Linked DNA regions of Ovis aries. The protein of the gene in region 1 purifies or fractionates together with the protein of each later gene. This does not show direct contact. Links are inferred from orthologs where the notes say so. Each region holds a gene or a part of one and is shown in the gene's direction. Other genes may lie near its edges.

Evidence for each region.
Region 2: the proteins of TCOF1 (region 1) and ARRB2 purify together in Homo sapiens (affinity purification with western blotting; 4 studies listed by BioGRID and IntAct, with this or other methods). This does not show direct contact. The link is inferred for Ovis aries from reciprocal best matches to the Homo sapiens genes TCOF1 and ARRB2.

Annotation. Positions count from the first base shown.
Region 1 is NC_056058.1:59,468,212-59,484,015, forward strand, and holds the start of TCOF1 (treacle protein), read left to right. Parts: upstream 1-3,743; 5' UTR 3,744-3,793; coding exon 3,794-3,901; intron 3,902-6,272; coding exon 6,273-6,328; intron 6,329-9,121; coding exon 9,122-9,270; intron 9,271-11,919; coding exon 11,920-11,993; intron 11,994-12,807; coding exon 12,808-12,994; intron 12,995-13,557; coding exon 13,558-13,631; intron 13,632-15,324; coding exon 15,325-15,537; intron 15,538-15,804.
Region 2 is NC_056064.1:26,515,312-26,518,291, reverse strand, and holds the end of ARRB2 (beta-arrestin-2), read left to right. Parts: coding exon 1-68; intron 69-347; coding exon 348-485; intron 486-1,210; coding exon 1,211-1,294; intron 1,295-1,396; coding exon 1,397-1,476; intron 1,477-1,554; coding exon 1,555-1,642; intron 1,643-1,923; coding exon 1,924-2,017; 3' UTR 2,018-2,480; downstream 2,481-2,980. UniProt on the Homo sapiens protein: Functions in regulating agonist-mediated G-protein coupled receptor (GPCR) signaling by mediating both receptor desensitization and resensitization processes.

The DNA of each region.
Region 1 (15,804 bases):
GTCGATGGGGTCGCAAAGAGTCGGACACGACTGAGCGACTTCACTTCACTTCCCCCAACACACACACATACACACACACACGTACACACACACGGAGCCGTCACAACATCTCTCCCCTCCCCTTTACACAAATACTTCTCAAAAGACCCACTGCCTCCCTCACCCCTCCTTCACTCATCAGATCGCTGCCATCTGACCCTCTCCATCACTTTCCACAAACAGTATTCCCTAAACCCACCACCAACAGTCCCCATGACTGTCAGTAACTGAAGCCACTGGTCCCATCCTCATCCTTCTGACCTCTCAGAACATTGCCCCTTGACTCTCCCCACTTTCCCAAAACTCTCAGCTTCCTTCCCTTGGCTTCCTTCCCTAGGCCCACTCTCCTGGGTTTTCTCCCACCTCTTGGGCCCTCCTTTGCAGCCTCTGCAGGTACACCCTCATTTTCACAGCCACAACCTGTGGGTGTGCCTCACAGCTCCATCCTGGGGCACCTTCTCTTCTCTCTGGCCAATCTGGGCCTCCCCCACAGCCACGTGATCATCTGTCTCCTGACAACTTCCCATCCTCGTGTGCTTCCAAACCCAGGCCTATGCAACATCTACCTCCAGGGTCCCAAAGGTCTTTCAAGCTCAACACGTCTAAAGTGGAACTTGCATTTTTCATGACCCCCTCCACAGCCTCCCATCATCACTCACCCAAGCAACTCCTCCCAGTTCACCTTCAGGTTTCCCCATCTCAGTGAAAAACCACTGCCTGTTTTCATGGAAACCTCAGAGGTCATCCTGACACTCACTCTCCATCCCCTCCATTCCCACACATCTCTTTGATGATTTTACTTCCTGATACCTGGAACCTTCCACAGCCCTCCACCTGTACTGCCATCAGCACCACCCCTGTGATAGTCTCCCCGGATGCCTGCCTGCCCTCCTAACCCTAACCTGTCATCTTGCAGCTACTCACACACACACACACCCCATTCCACTCTCTGCCTACAGGGGTCACATTAAAATGCAAATGTCATCCTATCCTTCTTGGACCTACACTGTCAGTGGCTTCCTAAATCTCTGAGGATGAAGAGAAAGATTCTCGATACAGAACCTGCCTCTGCCCTCCTTCTAAACTCCCCAATCCCCCTGCGCTCCCTCTGGGCCCTGTCACGAAGGCATTTTCTCACCTCTTCTCTCAGTGGTACCTTCCACCTCAGGCCCTTTGCACAGGTCCGTTATTCTGCCTAGGATTCTTCCCCCTACCCCACTCTCCCCTCACATAGTTCAGAGGTCCTCACAAAGATCACTTCCTCAGGGAATCCTTCCCTGACCCCCAAGCAGAGATAGATCCTGTCATCCTGTCAGATGATTTCATGGTGACGGCTAATGGACACACAAGTGCAGTACTATTCTTGGAAATTTTCTGTGCGTTTCTGCTTAGAACTCATTTACTCCTCATGGCAACCCTATCAGGTAGAAACTATAATTACCTCTATCTTATGAGTGAAGAAACTGAGGCACCAAGAAGTTATGTAACTTAGCGAAGGTCACCTAGTTAATAAGAGACAAAGCAGGAGTTTGAACCTGGGCAGAATGACTCCAGCATAGCTTTTAAATACTCCTCTTCCATAAGAAAAAAACTCTATCCTTTTCTTTTCTACACTTACTCACCGCTTGTAACAATGTATTTGTATGTGTTTAATAACAAAAACAATATAAATAACAAAATGCATGTAACAAATTATATGTATTTGTTAGGTTACGTCTCCCCGTTGAACTATAAGCTCTGTTGGCGTGGAGACAGTTTTATTTCCAACAGTAGTTGTTCAATAAATATTTGCTAAATAGCTGAATGTAGATTAGTCTCCCCTCTCTTCCTCACTTACCATATTCCATCAGTTACCTGGTCCTGTCCCTATTTCTTCCTGGAGCAATCGTTCCTAAGCCTAGGGTGGTCAGGTATGTGCTTACCCCGTATCCTAAAATTGGACGGAAAACGTTATGTGTCTGTACACCTTTAGAATTTTCTACAGCAAACGTTAGGTGCTTCTTGCTCTCTTCATTTTCTCGATGGACACATGAAGTTAAGAACGGCTGGTTCAGGACTTCCTTGTTGGTCCAGCGGTTAAGAATCTGACTGCCAATGCAGGAGGCATGAATTCGATCCCTGTTTTGGGGGAGCAACTAAGCCCGTGTACCAACAGCTACGGAGCCCATGCTCTAGATCCCACATACCGTAACCTCTGACACCCTAGAGTGCCCTAGAGCCCCTGATCCGCAGGAAGAGAAGCCGTTGCCACAGTGAGAGGCCCAAGCACTACAACTAAAGAAAGGCTGCGGGTAGCAATGATGGCCTAGCGCAGAAGACCAAATAAATAAGGAGACCCAAATAGATAAATAAATGAACAGCCAAATAAAAATTTTAAATATATGTTAAAAGAAAAAAAAGAATAGCTGATTCAAATATTCCCCAGCCTAACTCACCCTCTCCCTGCCAATCTCCTCTCCACAACTACAGCACCCTCTCATCCAGTTTTGTTCTCCAAAAATCCATCCTCTATGCGTTGGTCATAGCAATCTTTTTTTTTTTTTTTTGGCTGTGCTGGGTCTTTGTAGCACGAAGGATCGTCAATCTTCATTGAGGCATGTGGACTATTTAGTTATGGCATGAGAAGTCTTAGTTGTGGCATGCAGTTTTTACTTCTCTGACCAGGAATCAAACCCAGGCCCCCTGCGGTGGGAGTACAGAGTCTTAGCCGCTGGACCACCAGGGAAGTCCCCATTGCAATCTTTAAAAAACACAAACCCAAGTCACCCTCCTGCATAGAATCAGACAGAGACTGGCTATTGCCCTTGGAGCAAAGTGCAAACTCTGACCAGGTGGAGCGGGTGTTGAAGGCCCTGTTAACTTGTCCATCCTTCTGCATCCACACTGGTTCCCTCAACCCTCCAACTCAACAGTCCAGCAGCACAGACGGCGTTTTATGTTTGGGTTTCCTGGCCTGTACCGAAGTGGTTTCTCCTGTCTATATTCATGCAGTGCCCTCTGCCTGGGATGCCAGCCCTCTCCTCTGCACCTAGAAACTCCTATTCTGTCTTTAAGCCTCAGCTTAGATACCCTCTTGGGGTTAGGGGCCCCTCCTTTCTCCCATAGGCTGTGCTTGTCCCAGACAATGTGCAGAAGACTTTGAACCATAGTTGCTCGATTACCAGCCTCTCTCTTCCCTGTGAGCTTTGAGGGCAGCTGCCACATCTTATATATCCCGCAGGCCTAGCCTAAGCGCTTGCCGAAGGTATGGCGCTCAATAACTATTCAATGAATGAATGAACGATGACAAATAGCACCGGTTCATGCGTTCTAAAAAGATTTGTGAAATGATTAAATGAGTGGGTAAGTGGAAGTTCGAGTCTAGAGAGAGCTGGAGAATAGGATATTCAGAGATGAGTAAAATCCGATCACAGCTGTCACACAGCTAAGAGGAAGACAAATGCCTTCAAGGAGCGAGGCTGAAGGATTTAAGAGGGAGGCATTCTAATCTTAGGCGGCCCAGGGGGCGAGTCCGGATCCGACTCCCGCCCTCCCCGCCAATAGGCGGTCTCAATGCCTCCCATGCCTCCTCCCTTTTCATCCGCGGAGGCGGGGCCGGCCACCTTTGGAGATAAGACTACGCTTCCCGGCGTGCCGCGCGGCGGGCGGAGGAGGAGCCGGAAGTGGGGGTCGCGAGGTCTAAGGGCACAAGGGAAGTGGCGGGCGGGGACTGAGGGGGGCGTGCAGGTGAACGGACAGGCCGGGGGTCGCGGGCATGGCTGAGGCCAGGAAGCGGCGGGAGCTCCTTCCCCTGATCTACCAGCATCTGCTGCAGGCGGGCTATGTGCGTGCGGCGCGGGAAGTGAAGGAGCAGAGCGGCCAGGTAAGCGTGCGCGGGCCGTGTCCAAGGGCCGCGTGCAAGATCTATGGAGAGGCGGCCCGCGCCTCTTCCTCTGGCGGCCTGCGGGCGCCGAGATCCCGGATCCCACTGTGCTTTGGGACGCGGCCCGGGGTGCTGAAGGGGCCGCAACCTCTGCCCCGCACCTCTGTGGCTCCCAGTTCCTCTGGGCCTCACTTTCCTTATCTGTGGAGTGGGCGGGCCGGGAAGTGAGACCGAACGCTCTGGGCTTTATAATTCCCGCGCCCCTTACCTCCACCCCCTTCCGGGAGCGACAATTTAAAATTTCGAAGTATCAGGCCACGTGGCTCGGCGCGGCCCCCTAGGGCGAAAAGGTTGCTGCGAGTCTGAGGAGAGAATCGCTACCAGCCCAGAAAGGAGCGAAAGAGCGCCCGAGAAGGGGCCTGAAGCTGCTTGACTGAGCTGGAGCTCAAGCCCCTAGCAGCTTTTCTGTACTAATTGGGAGTTGAACTCGTGGTGTAGTCGCTCTTACTTCATCCATCCCTCAAGCAGCTGTTAATCTGGCAGTGAGGGTGCTGGCGATAGAATAGCGAGGAGGGTCCCTTGGCTTACTAATTAGAGTTTACAGGCTAAATCTGCTAGGGGAGATTGACATAAATCAGAGGACCACAAAAGTAACTGTGCACTCAGCACTGCATTAACTGCCAAGAATGAGAAGCATAGGGTGCTAAGACAGGAATGGCAGATCGCCTTAGTCAGGGATATCCAGACCTGCTCTCCAGAGGAAGTGAATGCTACTTTGAGATCTGAGAGAAGGAAGTGGATGTTCCAAGTAGGAATGCAAAGTGTTGCATATGTACTGGCCGCCAGAAAGTTTATTGTGACTGAAGTATGGAGTACAAGGGTGACAGAGATCTCTGGGGAGACAGAGGCAGGAAGTGGGCTTCCTTTGGTTTTGGTGAAGTAGTGGTAAGCCACTGGAAGGTGTTAAGTTGGTGTGGTGTCTGTTGACTTGATTAGTCGGTGTCTGTCTGGCTATGGTGTAGGCTCTGGTCATGATACTTTCTCTCAGGACCTCTGGGAGAGACTAAAGGATGACAAATAAGACATCATCTGTGCTTTTCCCAATCTTTGGACCTCGGTAGCTTTTCTTACTTCAGTTATATCACTTACCAGCTACAGGGAACAAAAGGGAGTACCTATCTTCTTTGGGGCATTTGCCTAGACGAAAGAATCCTGCCCTCATGAAGCATATATTCCAGCAGGAACAGACAAATGACTGAATTTTTTTTTAAGTTAATGATACAGTGTATGGGGTGATGGTAGGTGCTAGGTGTAAAAATAAGGCAGGTAGAAGGGATAAGGAATATCAGAGTTAAATTATCTATAGGGTGGTCATGAAACCCGAGTGAGAAGGTGACTTTGGGGCGAGGACCTGAAGAAAGTGAAGGAGTGAGCCATATAGTTGGCAGGAGAGAGCATTCAAGACAGAAAGAACAGCCAGCCCCGATGGGGGCGGAGTCCCCTGACAGATTTGAGGGACAGTGAGGAGGCCAGTGTGCCTGGGGCCAAGGAAAGTGAAACTGACACTTTTAGTCACTGTCAGTTACAGACTGAATGTTACTGGCTGCTGTGCTGTGCAGTTACTATTGTAGACTGTCTCCTTAAGGCCTGAGAGCAGCATCTTAGATGGGTACTGCTGTTATCCCCATATAAAGAAAGAACCTGCAGCTTTAAAGAGCTGAAGACAGTAGACTATCCAGTTAACAAATTAATTCTCTTTGCCTGACCCTAGATGCACCCTCCTGGCCACTCTGCTTAAATCCCTGGCCCTGCATTACTCACTCAGCCTCCTTGGGGCACTTGACACTCCAGGTTCTTGACATTTGCAGAGAGTAGACTTCTGATCTTGGCTCCAGAGGGCTTTGCTTCTACCAAAGGATTGGCACCATTTGGTTCCAGTCTCTGCCCAGTGGGTGAGCAGACAGCGTGGTTGTCTAGTCTGTGGTTCATACTGCCTGGGGAAATTGACCAGCTTGACTTTTGAAAGGTCAGGGGTGGAAAAAGCCCTGTCTTGTGGCACCTAAGCCTGGAGAGTGCCAGGGAGGCTGGGGGCTGAATAAATGCTAGCTTGGAATATTCCCACTCTACTCTGTCAAAGGTACTTCTCACCAGAATATTGTCTTAAAAGGTTTTAGTTGGAAGTACTTGCCCTGTGTGTCTCTGAAAGGTTCGGGTGGTCCTGGCAGGGCTGAGCAGACGTATTGCCCAGAGCAGAAAGACCCCCTTCTCAACCATCTCTCTGTGGTTCATGATGTCATGAGCGTGGGGCCCAAGGAGGAACCTTGCTGTACTCAGGAGGGTTAATTGCTGCTTTCTCTTTGCTTCTCTGCAGAAAATTTTCCTGAGTCAGCCTGTAACCCTTCTGGACATCTATACACACTGGCAACAGTAAGTCTAATGGGGCTGAGGGAGTGCAAGAAGGACACCCCAAGCTCTCAGCATGAAATCAGCTAGGATACTAATCTGGTCTAAAATCTGTCCCCGTAACCCACTGTAGATACTTTTATCACCTCTAGGAAGCTACACCACAGATATGGGTGTCTGTCTGCTAGTAGAGAGGACACTGAGAACTGTGAGCAGTGTCTCTGAAGGACAAGAGCTTCTTGGCAGCTTGTTATTCATTCAGTCAATGAGCATTTATTGAGTAACTGCTGAATGCCAGGCTCTCAGTACAGAGATATTGTCATGAATGAGACATGCATGGTGGCTCCTTTCCTGGAGCTGACACTGGAGTCAGGGAGGTAAGCATGCCACAGAGAATGAGACAAATGAGTATAAAATCACAGTGGTGGTGAGGATTATGAAAGAGGTGCCTGGGGCCAAAACTGCCTGAATAGGTTAGCATCACCTCATTTAGGTGTGTAGGAGTGGCTTCCTTGAGGTGACCTTTGAGTTGAGAACTGCAGGAGTGGGGAGGTGAACTCGGCAATAGGTGTGGAAAGGCTGATGGAGTGTAGCTGGCAGAGGGAGCTGCTGGTCTGAGGCTGTAACTGCTGTGCAGTGCAGACGAGACTAGACAATCGTCAGGGACCACCCCATGACAGGCCTGATCACCCACAAGGAGAAGTTGTGTCTTTGCCCTGAGAACCATGGACGGGTGAAGTGAAGAGTGGTGAGGTCGCTGGCTCGACTGGGTAGGCTGTGGATATCAGCCTCCAGACAAGAGCTGCTAGGGCTTGAGGCAGGAATAACATACGAGGGAGACAGTGTGCAGGAATACCAGAGGATGAGATGAGGGTCTGCAGATGGTTTGGAGAAGCAGTGTAGTCAGCTCCCAGGTGTCTGACTTGTATGCTTGAATGGAAGGAACCCAACGTGGAGGGAAAGATTTCAAAGACATGCTGAATGTGAAATGTCTGTGAAACACGCAAAACAAGGAGAGGGGATAATCCAAGGACTTATCAACAGAGGAATGGATTGAAAATGAAGGAGCGGGTAATCGCTCCCTCAGTGAACTGGCCTGACCACAGCCAACTACGGGAGTGAAGGACCTGCAGTTGTGACCCATGAGGAATGATAGTGAACATGCAACTGTCTGGGTGGAAAAAAGATGGCAGAGGGGCAGTGGAGGGACCACTATCTGCACATGTTTTGAGACGAAGGGAGTGGGGTGTTCCCTAGGGCCTGAGAGAGAAGTGGGACCCATGTGAACCTGCTTTAGGAAGCCAAGTGTCAGCTTCTGAGTGAAAGCAGTTGGTCATCAGAGCTGTCCAAAACTGAGGTGGGCTACAGTAGAGTGGTGAGATCCCTGTCATCAGAGGTGTGTAAGCAAAGGCGGGCATGGTAGAGAAGGGATCCCAGCTTCCAGTAGAGAGCTAAGGTCTTTGCAAGCCCTGTCAGCCCTCAGTTCTTGGCTCTCCTCTGCTGCTAAGGTGAGCACAGGGTACACCCCCCACTTCCTCTTCCACGTGCCCAGGTGTCTGCTATTTGTGCAGCACTTCCTTCCCCAGAGAAGTGCTTCACTGAGCCGTGCCTCACACCCTCCCCTACCACCAGCCCCTTCTCTGGATGAGCGGTGCTGACTTGGACAAGGACCTCACACCCACCAGCCTAACCTGGTGGTTCAAACCCAGCTGTATGACCTTGGACAAACTTGATCTCCCCAAGTTAGTCTCCTTCAGTAAAATGAAGATAATAATAGTAAATAAAGTGCTAAACCTGGCCAGTGGAGGCATTACTCCTCTCCCCGCTTCTGTTTACTGAGCACCTACTTTGAGACAGAACTGTTCTTGATGTAGTTGGAAACAAACTGGAAGAGAAAAATCTCTGCACCTGTGAAAGTTACGTTCTACGGGGAGAAGAGAGGCAGAGTGAACCTATACGTGTGATAAATGAAACATGTTTTTGTAGATTTCCCAACAAGTGGCCTTCCTGGGAACAAGGGAGCCAGGCAGCACATCCCAAACTGTGGCAGAGCGACATCTGTCCCACATGGAGAGTGTGGCACACAGACAGTGACCCCCTCGGGCAGGAGGCTGGGCTCAGAGGATGGGGTGCTTGAAAATTCTGGCACCTCAGCCATCTGAGTGCTTGTCCTCCCCAGAGCCTCAGACTGTGACTCTGGGCAGGTCAGTTAGCCGTGAGACTTAGGCTAGGTACTCTAGGTACTGAAGTGAGCTGGAAAAGGTTCTGCCAGCCCTCCCCTCCCCGGGCATGCAGTAGGGGCATCATCAAGTAGGAAGTTAAGTAAAACGATGGGAGAGAGAAAAGTGCTCTGAAGAAAATGAAACAGGGCGGAGAATATCTTAGAGGACAGTGGTGACTGGGGAAGGCCTTTCCGAGAAGGCTGTACTGCAGTTGAGGCCTGAGGGACAACAGGGACCTGGGCAGTCTTCCAAGAGGAGGTGACTGTGGGTGCCACAAGTCCTGAAGGAAGGAGGGACCTGGATGATTCTGTGAAGTGTATACAGTGCTGGCGCTTAGAGCTCTGTGACTCTTAGCGGCTGTTAGAAAATACTGCCCACCCTTCCTGAGTGTTTGAAGATAAACTGTAAAAATACAGTGAAATGAGTGAAGATGCACAACACGAAATTGTTTCTCCACTCTGTTTCATCACTGTTTAAAGTCTCTTTATACACTTTCCCTTTGGGGTCAGGGAGGATGTGGGAGGTCTTCCTTTTCAACTATCCTAGGGTTGTCCTTGCCCCCTGGTTGAGCTTGCCAGTCACCCTTGTCCTGCAGAACTTCGGAGATTGGCCGGAAACGGAAGGCAGAGGAAGATGCGGCCTTGCAGGCCAAGAGGACCCGCGTGTCAGACCCCATCAGCAGCTCAGAGAGCTCGGAAGAGGAGGAGGAGGAGGAGGAGGCAGAAGCCAAAACCACCAAACCCAGTAAGAGTCCTGGGTGCTGAGAGGGCCCCTGTCTCTGAGCCAGGGGCTCGGTGTAGTACCCTGCACCTCTCGGGGACCGGCTGTTGTATATTGGATTGTTCCAAGGGAGAGTCCACCTCCAGCTTCACCTTCTGTGAGCCCTTGGAGGACCAGGTCCTTTTAGAGGGAAGGTTGTAAGAGCCCCACATACCTATTTTAGTCTTGATTTGAGCCCTTCCTCTGGGCCAGACATTGTGTCCCAGGTGCTAGGAATCCAGTGGTGAACAAAAACAGGAATGGGCTCTTAGAGTCTAGAGGCATGTAGAGAGTCAGCCTCTCCAGTCCAGGAACTGCATTTTTTTAAGCCTTCTAGATAAGTCTGGTAAAAACAGAAGAGCAGCTTTCATTTTCAGAAGAACTGCGAGAGAGATTTCAGAGACAGCAGCTGGCAGGCCCCTCTTCTGTGTGCTCAGGGGCTATTTCAGCAGTTGCCTCTCTGAAGGGAGCAGGTTTAGCACCTGTACGCTGTCCCAGGCACCCTGGTTCCAGTGCGTTGGCAGGGGCCACCCTGTGAGGCCTTCACAGCCCCCTCCTATCCCCGTTCTCCAGCTAGTTTGTGCTTTAACCAACAGTGGTCACAGCTCCACAGAAGAATTACCATTCTCTGCATTGTTGGTTTTTACTTACATAGAAGGTAACTTCTTAATTTTTAAATATATTTTCTCATTGTAAAAGAAATACAGGCTTCATTATATTCATTATAGAATATGTGAAAATGACTTTTTAGAGAGGTAGTGGAAAATTACCCATATTCTTGGCCACGTATAATTTGGCAAATTATTCTTCCATTTATTTTTCCTGAGCATGTTTTTTTCAAATATTGGCTATCATACTGAATATGTATGTTATACTTTGCTTAATCTTTGAAAATTATAATGCAAAACAAGTTCTCTGTGAACTCTACAAAACATACAGAAGAGAAGTGGGAGGTTTTCTGTTCCCCTTGTCTGCTCCCTTTCTTTTCCCTAAATGCATCTCCTGGAAGGTAGCCTGACGATGCTGATGACGCTCCCCTTTGCATCTGCACTCAAACAGATAGACATCCGTACAGGCCTACATCCATACTTACAAACTATTCGAAACAAAAGCTGTATAACTGCCTACTGACTGCTTACTCAATATTAATGAATTTTTTAAGCTGTAATAATGGAATTATAATTATACTTTTTAAGAGCCCTCATTGAAAGAAACCTGCTGAAATATTGTTGGGCAACGTAATATGATGTCTGGTGTATTCTTCAGGATAATACTCACTGGGATGGATGAATGCGGGGTACAGTTGAAATAAGATTGGCCACAAGTTGGTAATGGTTGGGGTTGGGTGGCTTAGTCCTCTTCCTCAGTACTTATGAACGGGCCTAAAATGTTCCAGAATTAAAAATCAAGAAAGGGGTTCCCTGGTGGCTCAGTGTTAGAGACTGCCTGCCAGGGCAAAAAACGTGGGTTCAGTCCCTGGTCCGGGAAGATCCCACGTGCCACGGAGCAGCTAAGCTTGTGCACCACGACTATTGGACCTGTGCTCTAGAGCGTGTGCTTTGCAACAAGAGAGGCCCCCACGCTGGGAAGCCCACGCACCACAACTGGAGAGTAGCCCTGCTCTCTGCAGCTAGAGAAAAGCAACAGAGACCCAGCTCAGCCAATAAGTTGGAGAAAAAAAAAAAAAAATGAGAGATGGAATTAAATGTCAGGAGAAGAATTAGATCATGTAATTCCTCTCAACAGCATCATATTTTTTAACCTAATCAACACTTGTTTTCTCTTGGCTTTATTTATTCATTTGTCTTTGGCTGTGGTGGGTCTTCCTTGCTGTGCTCGAGGTTTTCTCTAGTTGCAGTGAGGGGGTGGCTACTCTTGTTTGGTTGCACAGGCTCCTCGCGGCAGAGCACAGGCTCAGCAGTTGTGGTGCATAAGCCTAGGTGCTCCACGGCATGTGGGATCGTCTCGGACCAGGGACTGAACCTGTGTCCCCAGCATCGGCAAGCGAATTCTTAATCACTGGACCACCAGGGAAGCCCCCAACAGCATCTTCTTTATTTCACAGCATACGTTAGAAACCTTTCCCTAACCTGAGCTCAAAGGAGACAGTATCCTGGTATCAAGGCAAAAAGGGTCTGGAAACTGACATCTAACAAGATTCCAGTCTTTTAGTTCAGCTCCCCACCCACTGGGACATGGTTTAAATTCGAGCAGCTTTCTCTGTGGACCTGGGGCTGCATGACCTGCCTCTATCTTGCTAAATGGCGTTCTGGGCTGCAGTGTGGCAGATGGCCTGTGGGAATGGCATCCCTGGAGTTGTTCGGGCCTCCAGGGTAGTATGCAGTAGGTCTGGGAGCCAATCCCGTTTCCTCTGGGGCCCTCGGTATCTCCAGCCTCCAGGAAGCTGGAACCCCATTGGGGGTGTAGTCAGCCGACTTCCATGTCACCACTCTCTCTTGCTCCTGGGGGATGTGGTTGAGCACCACTGAGCCCTTCCTCAGTCCAGGCTCAGCCTCAAATCTCATGCCAACACCAGGCAGCCATACAAATTGAATTGTTATGTGAGCTGAAACCTTTCTTCTTCCCTGAGAAAAGGCTGGTCTGGCTCACCCAATGGGTATTTGTGTCTTGCAGCCCCGAGATTAGCAGCTACCAACTCCTCAGTCACAGGGACAGTTTCGTCTTCAAGTGTGAAAGAAAAAGCCAAGGTGAGTGGGACCATCTTCCAGGCTGTCACCCATGGGAGGTGAGGTGCCCTGTAGGACATGTTCCCTGGCATCAGAGAAGAACTGGGTTGTGGGTAATTGCCCAGCTTGGATTCGGATCTCAGTCACCAGCTGTGTGATCATGGTGTGTCCCATGCACCTCTCCGGGCCTCGGGTTTTTGTCTGTAAGATGGGGATGATGCCTACTGCTGTGAGCCATTGGGCACCTGGCATACCTGGGGTAGACGGCTCCTGTCCTCTTCCGGCCCTGCATTCAGCTCTTCACTCAGAAAGTCATTACCAATACAGTTATGTTCCAGGGGCTACATGAGGCAGTGGAGACACCATAGCAAACAAGACACCTGTGGCTTTGAAAGCTCGAGAAGCATTTTCTAGGCTGGAAACTACTTGGAAGGCAGAATATCGTTTTCCGGTCATCCACAAAGTGGTGTCTCAGACATGGAAAGGACTGTGTCCCAGATACTGACTCAAGCATTAGCAAAAAATATGTAGAAATAATCACGAGGCCATGATAACATCCACAATAAATTGCTACTTACCGCTTAGCGAAACTGCTGTGTCCTAAGAACTGTAATTCAGTTCACACCTCTGCGAGGGGAGGTACCGTTTTCAGCTCCCCCTTGACTGGCCACAGGTTGGTGATGAATCCGTAACTTCAGAGATGAAGAAACAGAGGCTCAGGGAGGTCATGTGTCCAAGCTCATGGGTCTGGGAAGTGGCAGAGGTGGGAGCTGATGTGGTCTGTGCTCTTATCCACCTGACCATACCCAGTGGCTGTCACTCCTGTTCTCTGTAGGCAAAGACCACGAAAGCCAGCAAGACGGTGAACTCCACGACACACCCTGCCCCGGGAAAGGCAGTGGCCCACCTCCTCACTGGGAAGTCACCCCAGAAGACGACGGGGCCCTCGGCAAATGCTGTCTTGGTGTCAGAAACTGAGGAGGAGGGCAGCGTGTCAGCTCTCAGAACCGCTGCCACGCCTGGTAAGGAGCCCCAACCTCTAGGGCCAGGCCCCCGGGACATTCTGGAACTTAGGTGGTTGTCTCCATGACGGCGAGGACCACCGCCTCAGGCCACTTTCTCCTCCCCTGGGTGAGAGAGAATCTGCTATAGGGACACCTCAGGCTTTGCTGAGGGAATGTGAGCAGCCGGGGTGGGGTTGGAGCATTTTCTGGTTTATTGCTCTCAGGTGGGTACCAGTGCCTTCCACGGAGGCTTAGACGCTAAGGTGAGAGGCCTGGGTTTGCCTCTGTATCGCATGTAAAATAGGTATTTTCCCTGTGATAGGGGAAGGAGGTTTTCTAAGCCCCCAGGTGCTGGCGCTTGTGTGTCAGGACCTATTGTTACACCTCTTACCAGCCCTTCGGCTGTGCAGGAGTGGTGGGGGCGGGGGGCAGTGTGGTATGCCCCTCAGCTGTTCGTCCTCCATGGGTGCAGGAGCTTGCACTCATACCTGGCCCTGAGTAATTGGCGTGGAGGGTGCCAACGAGAGGCAGGCGTGTCTATAAAGGGTTGGCCCTCAGTCCCCTCCTTGTTTATCCCTCAGGAATGGCATCTGCCGACCAGGCTGATAGCTCCAGTGAGGATACCACCAGCTCGAGCGATGAGACGGACTTGGAGGTAATTGCCACCCATCCTCAGAGCAGCCCTCTGCAAACCTCTAACCCTCCTGGGGCCTGGCCAGAGGCCTCACCTCCCAGTGGTACCGGTGTCACCTCTCCCCATTCAGTGGGTGTTTTGGGGTGACCGGGAGCTGGAAGGCTGAGCCTGGGCAGGTTGGGAGCCAGATTTTCACTGTGCTCTGGGCAGGAAGAGGGCCTGGAGTTGGTGGGGAGAGACACCATCCTCCCTGTGAGGCGGGGGCAGACTTTCTCGGAGAGACGGCACGGGACCAGGGCCTGACGCACAGGGGGCTCCACCGGGTGGGCATGTTGGGGTGTGAGTATTCGAGCAGGAAAAGCTGCACGAGCAAAGGCCATGGGGTCAGGAGTGTGGCTGTCTGGGGTCAGACTGCTGAGGAGGTTCTGGGTCTGCTGGTGAGTGCTGGGTCTCAGCACTGCCTGAGGAAGTCCGTGGCCTCGGCTCTTCCGGGAACCGTGGCCTGGAGTCTCTGCAGGTTATTCCTTAGTGTGCACCTTCCAGGTGGCAGGCAGGTTCCTGCTGCCGTGGGGGAGTGAAAGGGACCCTCAGAAATTTAACTGCAGTGGTGATGGTTGGTATGAACAGGAAACGCAGAAAGCCGCGAGGGGCAGTAACAGGGATGCAATGCGGGCAGAGGGGCAGCACGGCAGGACGGACACAGCAGACTTGGTGCTTTGCAGGAACAGGGATCCGCAGGGTCATGAAGGGGAGAGTGACGTAAGATGAAGTCGAGGGAGGCAGGGCCAGATTGGTGCCTGACCGTGAGGCCCACTGAGAGAAGTTTGGGTTTTGTCCTGGTGGCTGTGGGAAACCTTGCAGGCTTGCAGGCACACAGGTGAGATGGCCTGATTTATGGTTCCAAAACATCACTGGTTGTGGCCTGGGTTGGAGGACGGTGCTTCATAAGTGCAGTGAGATGGCTGAGGGCTGTTGGAGTAATGCTGGCAGGAGATGCTGAAGGCTGGCACCAGGGCACCCAGCGGAGAGATGGGGAGAGAGAACAATAGGATTCGGGGATCAAATTGACCTGGCACCCATGGGGCTTCCTACCTTACCTTCCCACCTCAACCAGTAACCCCTGAAGATGCAGACCTAACTGTGGGCTGCTTCTCACATTCCATCCCACCTTTGGGCCCTAGTTACAGCCAGTTATACAGTCCAGGCACCCTGGGCTTCCATGTCCAGGCTCTGTCGAGGGAAGGCACACACACCTGGCCCTGGAAGCCAGCAGCCAAACACATAGCTTCAGTGGGCCAGAGCCCAGAGAGGGGAGGGGGGGTGCCCCAGGAATCTCAGCAGGCTGGTGCCAAGACTAGAGTTCAGGCCCTGGCCTCTTGGCCCTTGTGGTAGCCACCATGATCAGATACTGTGTTAATATTTGGAGGGGTAGACAAGTATGAGCTGTCCTGCTTGTGAGAGACTACCCCTCCACTGAGCCCTGTGTGCCAAGAGGTAGAGGAGGTTTGTGGTTGAGCATTCTGCCCCTTATTATCAGCGTTAGTGGTTTAACCTCTCTGAGCCTTTTGTCTTTTTCCGGAAAATGGGTGTAAAGATGGTATCTTAGGGAGTTGAGAATGAGATGGCATTAAGACAGAGCGTTACAGACTATGAAGCATCTTACACTCCTCAATGGCAGACAGGGTTATTCTCTGATCCCATGCTCTTGTTCCAGGTGAAAGCCGCAGTAAAACCACTGCAGGTCAGAGCCTCAGCCACTGCAGTCAAGGAGTCTCCGAGAAAAAGTGCAGCCCCAACTCCAGGGAAGGCAGGGGTTGTGACACCCCAAGTCAAAGGCGGTGCTGTAACCCCAGCCAGCAGGGCCAAGAAGCCAGAAGAGGTCTCAGAGAGCAGCGAGGAGTCCGATGAGAGTGAGGAGGAGGCCCCGGTGAGGCCCAAGGGAGGCCCGCTCCTCCGGTTCCGGGGCAGCTATGTAAAGAGCACCTCCGCTGCCAGAGGACACTGGCTCTGGAGTTTGGGGAGAGGGAGGCGGGGCTCTGGGAGGTGAAGGGCAAGGTCACCTGACTCTGCCTCAGCTGCTCCTGGAAATTGCCCTTCCTGCCCAAAGGGAAGAACCCCGCCCAGCACCCCCTTCCCCTCAGTTCCCCTGTCTGGAAAACAGGCTGCTGTCTTTGTCCCGGCTGGTCCTGCTGTG
Region 2 (2,980 bases), on another chromosome or scaffold:
CAGTACGCCGACATCTGCCTCTTCAGCACTGCCCAGTACAAGTGTCCCGTGGCTCAGGTTGAACAAGAGTGAGTAGCAGAACAGCCCTGGGAAGGGTGGGCCCTGGGAACATGGGGACGTGGGTGGTTCTTCTCAAACTGTCTCAACTTACAAGGGCATTCCCTCCAGTCTGAGGGTGGCTCTGAGCTGCCCGTTTTCTTGAGCAGCTTGAGCCAAAACCTACTCCTTGTGACCCGTGCCCACAGAGAGGAGGGGCTGGTGATGCGGGAGAGGCCGCTGGGGGTGGGAGCTGCCCCCTTGCCCCGCCTGCCCCCTCAGAGTCTCCCTCTCTTGTCCCCACCCTGCAGTGACCAGGTGTCACCCAGTTCCACATTCTGTAAGGTGTACACCATAACCCCCCTGCTCAGCAACAACCGGGAGAAGCGCGGCCTCGCCCTGGATGGGAAGCTCAAGCACGAGGACACCAACCTGGCGTCCAGCACCATGTGAGGGGGAGTCGGCAGGGAGGGGGGCTGGCTGCAGCGCAGGAAACTAGACACCCATTCTGTGCGGCTGTGTGCCAGGTTCTGTCCCCGGGGCCAGGGCTCTATCACTGAATAGATCCCAAACACCTCTCCTGTTCTCAGAGGGAGGCCAGACAAATCAGATACAGGACAGAATGTGTAGTGTGTTTAGTGACAGGTGTTAAGGAGAAAAAGCAAGACTGACATGGGAGATATAAAGGGGAGGGTGGTAGAAGGGATGGGGAGGCCTGATCCAGAGGTGGATTCTGGGTGAAGACGCCAAGGGAGTATGTCATGTGGATGTGCAGGGCAGGAGCGCTCCAGGCAGAGGGTACCGCAGGCACAAAGACCCTGAGGTGGACCACCCGGGTGTCTGAGGCAGGCCCTCTAGGGGCAACAGCTTCATAAAGTAGGGGCTGGATTTCACCCCTCCCCACCCCTCTGTACACGACCACACACAGCAAGCCTTGGAGGCCAGCCTGGGAGCTGGAAGTGGGGTCAGAGGGCTGATGGAGAGCAAGACAGTGCAGGGTGGCTGGGCTGTAAGGACTTGGGCTTTTACTGAGAGAGCGATGAGAAGGACCACAGCAGAGTACTTTACGTGACATGAGCATGCTGGTATCTGTAGTCCGCCTCCTCATGGGGGCCCCGGGGTGGGCAGTGGGCAGAGCAGTGGGCTCTGGTCCAACCCCTTCCCCCAACTGCAGCGTGAAGGAGGGTGCCAACAAGGAGGTGCTGGGGATCCTGGTGTCCTACAGGGTCAAGGTGAAGCTGGTGGTATCTCGAGGCGGGTGAGTGCTGGGCTGGGGGGAGCCTGGGGGTGGGGTGGGGCACAGGGGTTTCCTCTGGCTCTGCACTATCATCTCTTCTTGCCACCTCTCCCCCAATCCCAGGGACGTCTCAGTGGAGCTGCCTTTTGTTCTCATGCACCCCAAGCCCCATGATCACATCGCCCTTCCCAGGCCCCAATCAGGTGAGCCTGCCACCCACCCAAGCCCACAAAGGGAGGGTCTGAAGCAAGGCCAGCGGAGAGGAAAGCTGGTCCTTTTAGTACCCACCCACCCCCCGGCTCTCCTCCCCTCAGCTGCTCCTGAAACAGATGCCCCTGTGGACACCAACCTCATTGAATTCGATACCAAGTAAGAGTGCCCCACCCCTTCAAGCGTTGACTCTCTGGACAGATTCCTGTAACATTCAGATCTACCCTATTTTTCCCTTTGGGAGGCGGGATGGTTGAAGCATCCAATTGAGAGGACTTAGGCTAATGAGCTGCCAACTACCACCCCTTCTCTGTCCCTTCTGCAAACATCTCCAGTCCCAAGGCTGCTCTGGCCGGCGCCTCTGTCTCTGGGAGGGGAGGGGACTGGGAGGTGGAGGAGGCCTAGGGCCCCCACCTCACCCCCTCCTCTCTACCACCAAGCTATGCCACAGACGACGACATTGTGTTTGAGGACTTTGCCCGACTGCGGCTCAAGGGGCTGAAGGATGAGGACTACGACGACCAGTTCTGCTAGGAAGGGAGGCTGGAAGAAGGGAGTGGATGGCAGGGGCGGGGGGGCAGGTGGAGGCAGGACCAAGACCCCCACTGTCACTGAGGGGGATCCCAGTCCCTCTTCCCTTCCCCTCCACCCAGCGGCTTCCTCGACCAATGCCCCCCCCCCACTCCCCCACCCCCCACCAGATACGCACTGGACCCAGCTCTTGTGGAACATGGGCATTAATTTTTTGACTTCAGCTGTGCTTCCCCAGTCCCCCAGTGGGTGGCAAGCTGTGTTCACACCTCAATTTTTTGGAGGGGGAGCCGAAGAGGAGTGATAATAGGAAAAGAGGGGGAAAGCACTCCCACATTCAACCTCACACCTACACCCCCTCCTGTCACTCTCTCTGCCTCCCATTCCTTCAGGATGAGACCCTTTGGGGGGCAAGACCACTTCATTGTTTCTGAGCATAAAGAAGAAAATAAACCTTTTAATAGGCCGGAGTGCGTGTGTTTTCTGAGCGGCGTTTAAGGAGTGCATCGTGTGCTCATCCGTGACTGTCAGCTGTGAGACTCAGTCCCTTTTCTGCACCCACGTGGCACCTGGCCCACAGGCTGTCAATAAACATTTACGGAATGGCTGAACTGTACCTGTGCCCCAAGGTGAACACAGAAACTTGATTTGGTCAGTCCCGACTCAAAGGCAGTTTGATAAAACCACAGAGCAAACTCTCTCATTTACAGAGGGAATAACAACTCACTTTCCCACAGACTAGATGCTTGTGGGAGGTGGGCAGGGCAGCCCCGTCCCTGTTGGGGCTAACATACACGACCACGGGGTGACCTGTTGTGGCTGAGCTGTTTCCACTGCTCTGTGTGGTTGCTCCCACTGTCTGTTCCTGGGGCTTGGCGGGGCCACAGCTGCAGGCAGAAGCTACACGACTGACATCTCTGTGGAGCCTGGTACTTACACTGTCACACAGAAGCTGAGGCTTCAGGC